Linked DNA regions of Coturnix japonica. The protein of the gene in region 1 interacts with the protein of each later gene in a biochemical or structural test. Links are inferred from orthologs where the notes say so. Each region holds a gene or a part of one and is shown on either strand. Other genes may lie near its edges.

The links. The genes of interacting proteins can lie anywhere in the genome.
Region 2: the proteins of DNM1 (region 1) and SH3GL1 form a complex in vitro, tested with the Homo sapiens proteins (2 studies listed by BioGRID and IntAct, with this or other methods). The link is inferred for Coturnix japonica from reciprocal best matches to the Homo sapiens genes DNM1 and SH3GL1.
Region 3: the proteins of DNM1 (region 1) and SH3GL2 form a complex in vitro, tested with the Homo sapiens proteins (2 studies listed by BioGRID and IntAct, with this or other methods). The link is inferred for Coturnix japonica from reciprocal best matches to the Homo sapiens genes DNM1 and SH3GL2.

The regions. Positions count from the first base shown.
Region 1 is NC_029532.1:3,788,216-3,791,776, forward strand, and holds part of DNM1 (dynamin-1), read right to left. Parts: intron 3,380-3,561; coding exon 3,281-3,379; intron 2,592-3,280; coding exon 2,431-2,591; intron 2,328-2,430; coding exon 2,185-2,327; intron 2,102-2,184; coding exon 1,966-2,101; intron 1,219-1,965; coding exon 1,151-1,218; intron 362-1,150; coding exon of another isoform or gene 223-361; intron 1-222. UniProt on the Homo sapiens protein: Catalyzes the hydrolysis of GTP and utilizes this energy to mediate vesicle scission and participates in many forms of endocytosis, such as clathrin-mediated endocytosis or synaptic vesicle endocytosis as well as rapid endocytosis (RE).
Region 2 is NC_029543.1:1,611,393-1,615,488, reverse strand, and holds the start of SH3GL1 (endophilin-A2), read left to right. Parts: upstream 1-1,263; 5' UTR 1,264-1,678; coding exon 1,679-1,750; intron 1,751-2,714; coding exon 2,715-2,783; intron 2,784-2,893; coding exon 2,894-2,966; intron 2,967-3,705; coding exon 3,706-3,849; intron 3,850-4,096. UniProt on the Homo sapiens protein: Implicated in endocytosis. May recruit other proteins to membranes with high curvature.
Region 3 is NC_029547.1:29,706,798-29,711,142, reverse strand, and holds the start of SH3GL2 (endophilin-A1), read right to left. Parts: upstream 2,834-4,345; 5' UTR 2,688-2,833; coding exon 2,643-2,687; intron 1-2,642. UniProt on the Homo sapiens protein: Implicated in synaptic vesicle endocytosis. May recruit other proteins to membranes with high curvature. Required for BDNF-dependent dendrite outgrowth.

The sequences.
Region 1 (3,561 bases):
ATTCCAAGGACCAGCCCACCTCCCATGTTTCACAGTGCTTCCCTTTCTGTTTGGCTTGTTGGCTGGATCGTCCCAGGCTGGTACTGCTCAGGTCTAGTCATGCTGAGGAGGTGGTTAGAAACACTGAGTGCCACTGCAGGCAAATCCCTGCCCCGGTCACAATGCTGTGCCGCAGCCAGAGAGAGGGGTGGAAGGTGCCAGCTCCATGCTGCCTCCGGTTACCTTCTTGGTGCACTGTCTAACGGTATTGATTAACTCCGAAATAACCATGTCCACGCATTTCAGGCAAGGCTCTTTAATCTTCTTCACCTGCTTTTTCACAATGGTCTCAAAGGCCATGTCGGGTGTGAAGAGACCGGTTCTAAACACCCAGGGTAGGGGACAAGACAAGGCAGGAAGGGGGGGGAGAAGGGGCAAGGAGAATGTCACGTTACACACGCATCTCAGTGTAGGCACCACCACCACTGAAACCCCGCACACAGGGCTGGGAGCATCACAACCCTCAGACCAGTCCTGGAATCCAGAATAAAAAGGGATGCTTGGCACCTCCCCAGAGGCACATGTAAGGGTAAAATGGATCCCAGTTGGACAACAGGCACCAGTCTCTGGTCACCTTCCCAGGAACGGCACCACTCAGTGACCCCGGACTGTGCTTTCTGGCAGTTAACCTTCACTTAGTGGGGATGAAACTGTATTTGCTGACTGTGCCCTAGGACTCAACCCCTGGGGCTGCTGGAATCCTGGTGATGGGAACCCTAAAGCTCCCTCTGATCTCCAGGGAAGGTGCTCAGGATCAGCAGCTGTTTTGAATGTTGGTAAAAATGGAAGCATAATGTGAAAACCAACGTTTAAAACTCAATTAAGTAGCAGTACAGGCCTGCATCCCTCAGTCCTTTCTTATGTAGAAACAAGGAGGGAGAAAACTAGTAACCACAGCTGCATTACCTTTTAGGCTTCAGCAGTTTTCATATGGGAACAGAAAGCAGCTACTTCATCCCTACTCCCAGATTCAAACCACCAGGGTGTCCAAGGAAGTCCTCTCCCTTATGGCTGACCTACCGTACCTCTGAAGTCTTCAACTCCATTGGGAAGGTCTAGAGGTATTTACAAGACTACGCAGCCAGTGGTCTGCCTAGTGCATGATACGTGCCTGATACCATGGATGTTCTTGATGGCGTAGCTGATCTCCCGTCTCAGCTCCTTCTCATCAAACTCCATCTGCACCAAGAGAGAGTTTTTATCAGAAACAGGCTGATGTTTGCACAACCCCAGCACACCTAACAGCACGCTCTACACAATAGGAGGTCCCATGCCAGTATTATGTGACAGGTGAATGTTAGCCTAGATGTCGGATGTAGAGTCCAGCCATAAAGCTTGTATTGCCAAAGCAGACATCCTGGACAAAAATGAACAGATAAGAATAGCTAAGGGCTTGCATTTACAGGTGCCAACCCTCCCAGCAGCTCCCAAGGAGCTACTTAAAGCAATAAGATTGAAGCACTAGATTGCTTTCCAAAACAAACTGCTTTGTCTCCTGAGGCTTAATGTGAGGTCTTGGCAGCTGTCTGCCAGAAAACACCTCCAAGAGATTTAAAATTCACATACAGAATTACATCATCTAATACAAGGCAGGCTCTTGTATTACACTAACAAGGAATTGTCATATTTAAATGAAAAAGGAAACAGCAAAATGCAGAAGATAGAGAAGAATGTTTTGGTTCTTAATGTTTTCAAACAGGCAATAGAAAGCAAAAGAAATATTAACCAGGGGGGAAAAAAAAAAAAGCAAAGTTATCTCACAAGGACAGGAATTAAGAGAGGAGAGTATTATGGGAAGGTTCCAACAACAGGAAGTAAAAATAAGGTGACAGCATCAAATGTTAAAAGGGAAAATAGATGGTGAAACATGTAAAAAGTAACAAGAAAACAGGTAGGAAAAGGTGAAAGCATACAGAGAAACAGTACCTTCACCAGCTCAAAGGGGAAACGTTCATGGAAGATGCGGTTAATCCTGGCTCCTCCTGACAACTCATAGGTATCAATTTGGTCTCCAGAGCCTTCAATGCGTTTCTCAAAGTCCACAGCAAACTGCTGGACCATCCTAAATGAAGACAGAAAGCAGGAAGTAGCAGACATAGCCAGGCAGGCTTTTCCAGGGAGGGACACGCAGTGAAGGGCACTCACTGAAGCAGAGCTTTGGTCTTGCGAGCTGGGTCGTCAGGGCGAAAGTTCTTATACTCCTCCACCTCCTTCTCAATGGAGAGCAGCTGGCTCTGCAGCTTGTTGCGCAGCCCTGGCAGGGTGTCACGGATGTGGTTGGTCAATTGCTGTGCAGGAAGAAGGTTTAGGATGAAATTGGGAGAAATTTGCTATGACGCTATCCCAGAATAAAGGGCACAGTGGGCAGCAGTTCTCAATTGGTGGTGGTACCTGGTTCAATACTTTCTGCAGGTAGGGGGTTCCCATACGATCAGCCATGTGTCTGTAGGCTGGGTGGGAGAGAAAGAACTTTCTCTCTGCAGCCAGAGCTGCCTGAATGTCCTTCTTGCCATCAATGTCCTTCTGACTTCTATTGACTACACCAATGTAACCTGCAGGGATGGCATTAAAGATCAGGCAGTTACAAGGATGAAAATGTAAGTGGGGCTCAGGTTGAGAAGGAAACTACCCAGGAAACAACACTGCAAATGGGAAATCTTAAGGACAACACATCTGGGACCAAGCAGAAGAGTTTAAAACTGGAATTCCCTGGTATACAGGACAGAAATGCCACTATGCAACTGAGAATTAGCTTTTTGATCACTGCTCCCCCAGTCACTAAGAACACCCTATTTCCATTCAGGACTTCTCTGTTCATGTCCTTAGGACAGGTATTCCACTATGGTTATGTACAGCACATAGCACAGCACAGGAAATGTGATTTCACCTGAAGCACTACAGTAATCCCATCAAATAAGAGACTTGGGGTGCGGGGGGAGAATAGTACAGGAATCCCATTTTTGCAGCTTGCCTATTAAATATAATGAAGAAAGTAAAGATAAGAGCACGGGGTTATGCTCCTTCTAGCACTACCTATCAAGATACAAATACCTAAAAATTACTTTTCCTTAAGCATGACTCATGCCCATTCCCCAGCTTCTCAATTCTGACTTGGAACAGAGCTGGCTTAAGAACACACCATAACAGATGTTCCAGGAACCCTGAAGAAAAGGAATGAGGCAAAGATACCAAATATAGGGAAAATGAAGGAAGATCATGCACAGAGCGTGAGGAAACGTACCTCTGCGAAGAGGAAGTAATTTATTTTCTAATACATCCCTAGCATCAGTTCCTTCATCCATAAGATCCAGCTTAGTGATGACTCCAATAGTACGTTGCCCTTAATAAAAGAACAAGTAAAATATGATCAAGTAAAACAGCTGTGTAATACCTTCCTTTGTTCAGAAAGCTTACAAACTGCCCAGCTTGGCTACAAGGGCTCTTGGGCACAAATGTCACAGTTCCCATAATAGCCAAGAGGTCACAACAGCACCAGGTAACAGAGGTCAGTTCCCAGCTATA
Region 2 (4,096 bases), on another chromosome or scaffold:
TAGGGACGGCTGTGGGCTAACATTAAGCTGGCCATGTCCCTGGCTCACATCCTTGCTGGCAAAGGAGGGAACTTGCATTAGTTTGTCCTCTTGCCTGGCAGATTTGGGACTGTTGGAATGGAGATGGCACACAGTCCCTCCTTCTTTCCTCCTGAGATGAAGCCTCGTAGCTTAATTAGAGCCAGCAGGGAGAAAACCTCAGTCTTATTCTTCCTTCACAGCAGGGCACCAGTAGCATTTCTTGGATGTCAAAAGGAGGATTAAATTAGCCTGCAAGCGAATTTTCCTCCTTCACATCTCTGTGCTCTCTGAGAGAGTGCTAAGCCTCCAAAATCACTGTGGTGATCACCGTGTACAACATGGCATGCAGTCCCTGATTATGGCAGAGCTCCCCATCAGAGGCAGTATTTGCAGCTTTCTGGGCTGCCAATCTGTGGGTGGGTGGAGAAAAGCAGGGATGGAATTACTCCACTTAATTGTACTCTTCTCAGGTTTATTGCAGAGGGAAGGATCTTTCTGGAGGTGCTGCTCTGGGCTGTGTAGAAGCCCCTTTCTGGTCATGGAGGCTGCATAGCGAGCTGTCTTTTGGCATAGAAGCACAAGAGTGGGTGGTGGCAGCTGGGAGTGAGTGCCCACACAGGGTCTGGAAAGCAGAGCAACCGCTTTGTGGTTTATTTTCCCTGCTCCATAGAGGAATGTGTACTTCCCCAGCTCAGAGCTGGCAGGCAGAAGTGTGTGCTGGCACCCCAAGCACAGAGCAAAGATCCAAAAAAAGCAAGAATTCAAGTTTTGGTTGTTTGCCCATCTGCAGGCAGCTCTGCAGTGATAACACCCCTTGGAGCCCCTATTGCCTCCTGGCACACTCTGAATCCATAGTCCTGCACTTCCCATGTTCTTTCAGGTGCTGGAAAGAAAGCTGGTGAGGTCAGGAGGGCTGTGCATGGACCACTGTGAGGCTGCACACACAGAGGGATGTGTGAAGATCCATCTGGGCATCCATCTGAAAATGAAATCCAGAGTTGAGAGCTGGGCTGGATGAACCTGGAGAGCACTGACCCCAGTGTTTAAATGCCCAGAGGAACCACAGCGATCTCTTTGTGAAACATCTGAGGTCCCCAGAAAGAGAAAAAAGCCCTTGCCCAGGTGAAGTGAGGCCCTGAAAGGCTGCTGCCTTCTATCTCAGTTCTTTCAAACTCTTGCTCTAAAAGGATATTTTGGCCTTGGGATGATTTATGCTACTGTTGCTCAGTGCAGAGCTGTCATTCAGAAGAGCTGTCTGCTCTCTAAGCCTCTTCCCTGTAATGTCTGCGTGCCTTGAAGCTCTGAGCAGCTGCAGATATCCATCCACTGAGGCACGAGGAGCATATCAGCCATAGCAGTCAGTGCTCAGCCCAACACCTTGGTTTGCAGCTCATCATTTGATTTTGGAACTAAGCACTGCCCAGTGAGTGCAGTCACACGGACCTTATGGGGTATCTCTAAGTGCATTTGGAACTGGATGTTTGCCTAAAGAGTTTTTTTTTCTCCTTGTCCTCTAACAACTAAGGAACCACTGAGTCCCCATGGGCACCACAGGAAGAAAGACTTGATAAAATCAGGTATTTGATGTTGAAGTAAACAAACCTTCATTGTTTGTCCAGAGCTGGAGTTTTGACTACAAGCACGAGGAATCCTGGCAATGGCCTGTGGCGGGCATCAAGAGCTTGGGAGGCAGCAGCCATTTCCTAGACCACTTTTGATATCTGTGGAGGTAATTTAGTGTGCACGGACCCATTTTGGGGCCTGGCAGTTGCTTGTGGATGTGTTGCAGGTAGCTCTGGCCAGTCTATTGAACCCCAGGTGTTGCCTTGCCACGAGGGAACAGGGCAGGAGATATCCCCCTCCATTTGGGTTGCATGGAAGGACACTTCTTCAGTTGGATTTAATAAAGCACTTTTGACACACGTCTTTGAGCTCAGGAAGGCGAATGGTGAAGCTTTGGGAAGAAGTCTTTTCTTACACTAAATGGCATTTTGAAGCAAGCCGATAAGCCCTTCATGCAGATAGCCAAAAGCAACCCTGCCTTTCCAGCTGTGTCAAACATCTCGTGTTCACTTTGTTTTAGAACAGACGTCAGAGATACCTTGATAATTGGATCTGAACGTTTTCCTGTAGCTTCTGTAAATCTCTTTATCCTTCTCTTTAAAAAAATCTTGAAATACAGAGCCCTAGATCCTAAGCTCTCACCATCTGGATTGCAAGGAGTTGTGGTTTAAGGCTTTGAGTGGTTCTTTCTGAGCTTAGTTCTTGTACTGGCTGCTGCAAGCAGAGTATCTTAATTCCCTGTTTACTTGCATTTTGCCTTGTGTGAAATTAAAGTTGAGAGACAATGCTGTTGCTTGCTTTTCCCAGCAAGCGTTGGAGTTGGAGCTGTGCTTATGAATTTAAAGAGCTTTGTAGCTTCTGCCAGGTGGGGAATATCCTGCCTATGTCTGAAGGTTCAGCTGTGGTGCCTTGGGAGGGTAGGGGACATTTAGATTGTTTAATGGGACAGTGTTAGCAAAGAGCCACGTGTTGTTACCATGCTTTGGGCTGTTCCTACTGCCTCCTTTCTCTTGCAGGCGCTGTCTGGACCACCCCTGTTCTCTTTCCATCCCCAGGACTCTATACCTCTCTGCATGAGGTAAACAGCCACTACCATGCCTGATTCTTCCTGCCTTGTTCTTTTTCTGCAGCTTGTCAGTGAAAAGGTTGGAGGGGCAGAAGGGACCAAACTTGACGATGACTTCAGGGAAATGGAAAAGGTGAGCAAGAGATAGGAGAAATCCCTAAAATCACCCATGTCACCTTCTGTGACCTTGCCAAAATCCTGAACTGATCTTCACTGCTGCTGGATCATCTTGTTTTCCTACAGAAAGTGGATGTGACCAGCAAGGCAGTTACAGAAGTACTGGCCAGAACAATAGAATACCTGCAGCCAAACCCAGGTGAGTGGTGGGACCTCTCCTATCCTTTGCCTCCCAAAGAGGGTAAGAGGGAAATAGGCAGAAGGTGCAGAGAGACCTCAGAGAGAAACTTCACGACCTTGAGGTGTGCCACCAAGCCCATATTTGTTATCAGGTATTCTGCCTACCTTTACCTGATGTATGCTGGGCTGTCCTGTACATTTCCTGTGGCTTTCCTAATAGTCTGAGCCTAATGAGGTCCTACCCTAGCTCACAGGTGCTTTGTGATTGTAAAGCCATCTCGACCAGTGATGTATTTCTGGGCTGAAAGACACTGCTGTTGCTGTCAAACAGTGAATAAAACAGACAAATCTTTAACGTTGGATCTAGGAGAGATCTGGAGGGGACCTATTTTTACCAGGGTGTCCAGAAAAAATATAATCTCTGGGTTGGGAAGAGTCGGTTGGCTTTGTAACCACCACCTCCAGAGCCTGCTGCCCTGTGTGTTTCCAAGCAGCTTGTTCAGAGAATGCTCCAGGGACTATGGGAGGGCTGGGGAAACTCCTTTGGCCTTCACCAGTTAGCTGTAGGGATCTATATTTGTTTGCTGCCTTGGAAAAGAAACTTTACTTTTCGTAGCAAGTGATATTTCTGGTAGATTATGACAATAGCACTTCTTGGCTTTGGGAGTCACTTAAAAAAAGTGAAGTGCTGGCAGTGACCAGCAGCTGCTGGCAAGTCCAAGCAATTACAAACACGGCTGTGGCTGTTTCTTTGCCAGCTTCCAGAGCCAAGCTATCCATGCTGAACACAATGTCGAAGATCCGTGGGCAGGTGAAGAGCCCAGGCTATCCACAGTCAGAAGGGCTGCTGGGGGATTGCATGATCCGCTACGGCAGGGAGCTGGGCGAGGACTCCAACTTTGGTGAGTGCCCCGTGGGGCTGCTCCCTCCAGGAACGTGCAGATGAGACAGCAAAGTCCGGTGCCAAATTTCCAAGCTGTTCCTCTGGATTCCTAAAGGGCTCTATGACCCTTTGTATCACTTAGCAGCATGTGCCTTTGGTCCAGGCCAGTAACGAGTGCCAGATCTATAGCAGTCTCAGAGCAAATGCATGGCAGCGGCTGTGCCTCATTTCTTAAACCAAAACCAAGGGTAAAATCCACAGCTCAG
Region 3 (4,345 bases), on another chromosome or scaffold:
TGTAATGTAGCCTGTTCTGTACTTCAACATTTGTCAGCCTCATTTCTTGTAATTTTGAAGGAATTTTATGATTACAGACTCACTTTTGTTTTCACAAACTCAGGAATATTTGTTCTAAACTTTATGATGTTTCACAGAGGTAAAACCATCCATGTTTTTTTTTGTCTAAAATCCAAATGGGGTGAATATGCCATTCACTCCATATGGAGCAAAGCTACCACCTGCTTCCCAATGATGTACTCCTGAAGCAGTTAGTGCAAGGAATTTGACAGACATTAAGGTCTTCAATATGATTTCTGTTGTGAAGTGGCATTATTTAATGCAGGTGAGCCTGACCTTTCACAAGTCAAATATGTATTTATATATATATATATAAAATCAAAACACTTGCTTAGCAATTAAACAATCTAGACATAGGAGTCATACTATTTCAATTTCTGCCAGGGACTTATTGCCGAAATAGCATTTTTTTAACATTTAAATAGTGAGACAAATCTTTCACAACTGAAAGAGTATTCTGTAATAATAACATTGTATACTCACAATGCACTCGTGTGTAAAAGGACTACTAATTTTACAACATAAAAGGATGAAAGAAACTAAGCCAAAGACTTCCAAATGCTTTACTGAATTAAAAGGAGCATCAGAAATAACTTGAAATTGTTACAGGTGTGACTTAGGACTGCAGTACAACTGTGCATCATACACAAGTTCTTACATGTCTAAGAATGATGGGAAAGATTCAGAGTCTTTAAAACTTCCAGTTTGTTTCATCCCATCTGGGAATCTCCATTCACAGTGGCAATGCCTATCCATACTCTGCCTGGGGATCAATCCATTATCAGAAGGATTCTCCCAGGGGTAAGGACAGCACAACCAAGGCCTGGATTTCTCACTCATGCTTAAAACAAGCCAATAAACAGATCTGTCTTGCAACCTACTTGTGAGTCATTCTCATACATGAATGTGTCTTCATGCCCTGCATACAAACAGTCTGTGAAAGTCACGGCTGGGCCCAAAAATCCCTGGGTCATTTGATAGCAGGCTGCTAAATCTGGCATCAGCAATATACTATTTTGGCTCCAGCCAGCTAAAACTTTTCTTTCCTTCTACATGGCAATACTGCTGACAGTCCATGTGAGCATGTCATCTGAAGGACAGAACAGCACTCACAGACCATTCTCCCTCTAAAAGGGATGTGCACCCTGCTGCTGCAGAGGCACATTCATTAACTTACAATAATGGTGAACTGAGGCACGCTACTAGAAAGTAAACTTCAGATTGCCTATTTCTTAACTCTGGATGACACAGATCCTGCAATTCTTACTTATCAGTGTGAGAACTCAAATAGCAGTGATGATTTCTGGGCTTGATATAGGTAGCAGAGAGTGATAAAATGAAGTAGCAGCAGCAGATGGACACTACAGTATGGGCTCAGGCACACTTAAAAACTCCTTACTGCATCTGTCATGAGAACAGCAGGTTTCTGTGAAGTCTGTTTTACCAATGATGCAATGTAATTTGTTATGAAAGGTGAGACACAATGTCACCCTGCTCCTGCACGGGCCTGTGGAGGACTTGGCACATCCCACCGCATTTCTAGTCAGAATGGGTATGGTATAATTGCAAAGACAGCAAGAACTAAAGTTGGGACTAATTCTTGTGTAAGGGTTCATTCCTTTAGGTGCATCTCTCCACATTGCAGCAACAGATGAGATGAAAGAGAAGAGATGGATGAGAAAGGAAAAAGCGTAGGTGTTGAAAAGCCTAATGGCTGCTGTATCTGCAAGTCTGCACCTAGGGGCTGCTTACAGCAACATACACTGCTACCTGAAGATGTAATGACAGTCAGTGAAAATTACCAGGAGTTCTGTGCTCACTTGCAAAGAAAATAATGGAGCTTCACGCAAGACTTGGACTACAGTCTGTAAATTCAGATAAATTTCCCAGGCTTCTACAAAACCATTTTGGATTCATCCCCAGAACACACCAAGTCTGAGCCCAATTCAGGAACTGTACCCTTACAGACTACAACATACAGACTCTGCATTATGAAACAAATCGCAGCCGGGTGAAACACCCACCCTGACCTCCTTGCAATAACACACCATGCCTAAAGCAACACGACCAAATCTCATTATTCAGATTTTGTCTGTAACCTAAGTGGGTTGGGGGGTGGTGAAGGGAGGGTAGTTGGGGGGGGGGTTTAAAAATAATTTAAAAGGTCTGATTCAGAAAGCCAACCTAAAACCGTTCTGATGGAGAACCAGTGCACAGACCGCAGAACGGGTCCGACGCCCACGCGGGCACCTGCCCCAGCAGCCGCTGCGCCAGTCAGTCCCTGCGAGACCGGCACCCGGTGCGGCTGGGGCGGCGGAGCAGCCTGCGGTGCTCTCATTCATGCCCGTGTATTCTCACGCACCGCGCACACACACACACCACGCACACCCGTGCACGCACGCACCCGTGCACACTCACACCACGCGCACCCATGCACACGCGCAGCCCACGAGCGCCCGTGCAATCGGATGCGGGCTGGGCAGCCGGACTGAGTCCAGCGCCGCGCATCGGACTGCGCCACGCTGCCGCGCTCCACGCACCCGCGCACGGCCCCAGCGGCGCGGGGGGGACCGAGGCGGTACCTGGGTCGCTTTATGGAACTGCTTCTTGAGCCCGGCCACCGACATGGCGAGGGCGGTGCGATGCAGACGAGAGGAGCCGAGCGGAACCGAGCGGCGCCGAGGAGCGATGGGGCTGGTCCCGCCGCCGAGGAGCTGCTGCTGCCGCTGCCCGCTGCTCGCAGCCCCGCACGCCCGGCGATGGGAGGTGTCAGGCGGCGGCCGCGCTGCGGGGGGGCCCTGACGTCAGGGCTGGCCGCACCGCCTCCCCGCGCAGCCCCGGGCCGCCCCCGCCTCGCCCCCGGCCCCGGCGGCGCTGAACGAGAGCAGCCTTGGCGCGGGCGGAGGCGGCGCTGCGGGACCCCGCCGGCATCCTAAGGGCCACTGCCGACGGTCCCTCCTGAGCAGTGTGGACCTCATCCCGTGCAGCCCCACGGGGACGCCGTTCAACCCGCCTCGACTGGGACGGTGGGCAGTGATGGACAGATAGACCTGGGGCCGGGGGATGCGGGTGTCGGCATGCCGTTTCTTCAGGCCTAGCTGGTCTCAGTGGGATGATGCCAGCTCTGCCTCCTTGTTGGCCCTCAGTATGTGTGTTCTTCTCCCCTTGCAATGCCAGTGACACACGGGCAGCCAAACATACAGCCTGCCCCACTGCTGGCACACTGGTGTGGCTGTTGGCTTGAAGGTAAAGAGCCTCAAACCCAAATAAATGTCAATAATGTGTGCTTTAGCAATTTGGTCAGATGTGCTATAAACACTAGCAGAACAGTAATTAGCAGTAATTATGAGGCTCTGCCAGGAAAAGCCTAAACAATGCAAGCAGTGTGACCCAAATGTAACAGCTCTTCTCTGCAGGCTGGGCCAGTCGCTGTGGATGTGTGCTGCATCTCAGCGCAGCTGGGATGAAAGCTTGCATCTGCTGAAAGCAGCCATGCTGCGCTGGCAGATCCATCCCCACTAACATCCCACAGCAGCTAGGTAGCACAGATCACAGGAGATGGGATGGAAACATTCTGAGAGATACCTGGAGCTGTTTTTAATCTGCATGTGGACTTACTGTGGTGTAGCACACATGCTTGGTGCACTTAAAGAAAACAGGCACTGTGAGGGCCCACATATCACCTCATACCATGAGGTATAGAATCATAGAATTACCCAGGTTGGAAAAGACCTCGAAGATCATCAAGTATGGGTCAGTGGTGACATCACAGCACCCAACTTTGAAGCACAGTTCTGAAAGGGACTGCAGCAGGAGAAAGGACTGTGAATGCAAATCACATTGGTGCTTTCAGAAGTATCACCAGCGTTGCTCAGCATGGAGAGTGGCAAAGAACATCTCTCTGCTTGTGGGGAGCAGACTGGAAGAGCATAATGGCTTCCTCGTGGGCACAGTAGGAGGCATTTGTTTCCGATCTAGTCCTGCACCAACATCAGAACACATCCATTCATTTTAGTTTTAGTATTAGCTTAGAGGATGAACACTGAGATGATATGGAGTGGAAGGAAGTTTCTTGTGCTAGTCATGGAATCATAGAAGATCCCAAGCTGGAAGGGACCCACAAGGATCATCAAGTCCAACTCCTGGCTCCACGCACATCCAAAATTCAGACTATATGTCTGAGAGCATTGACCAGACACATCTTGAACTCAGGCAGTTCGATGCCATGATCATTGCTTTGGAGAGCAGTCCTCAAAAGACTACATTCCAGTTTGTTAGATGTTTT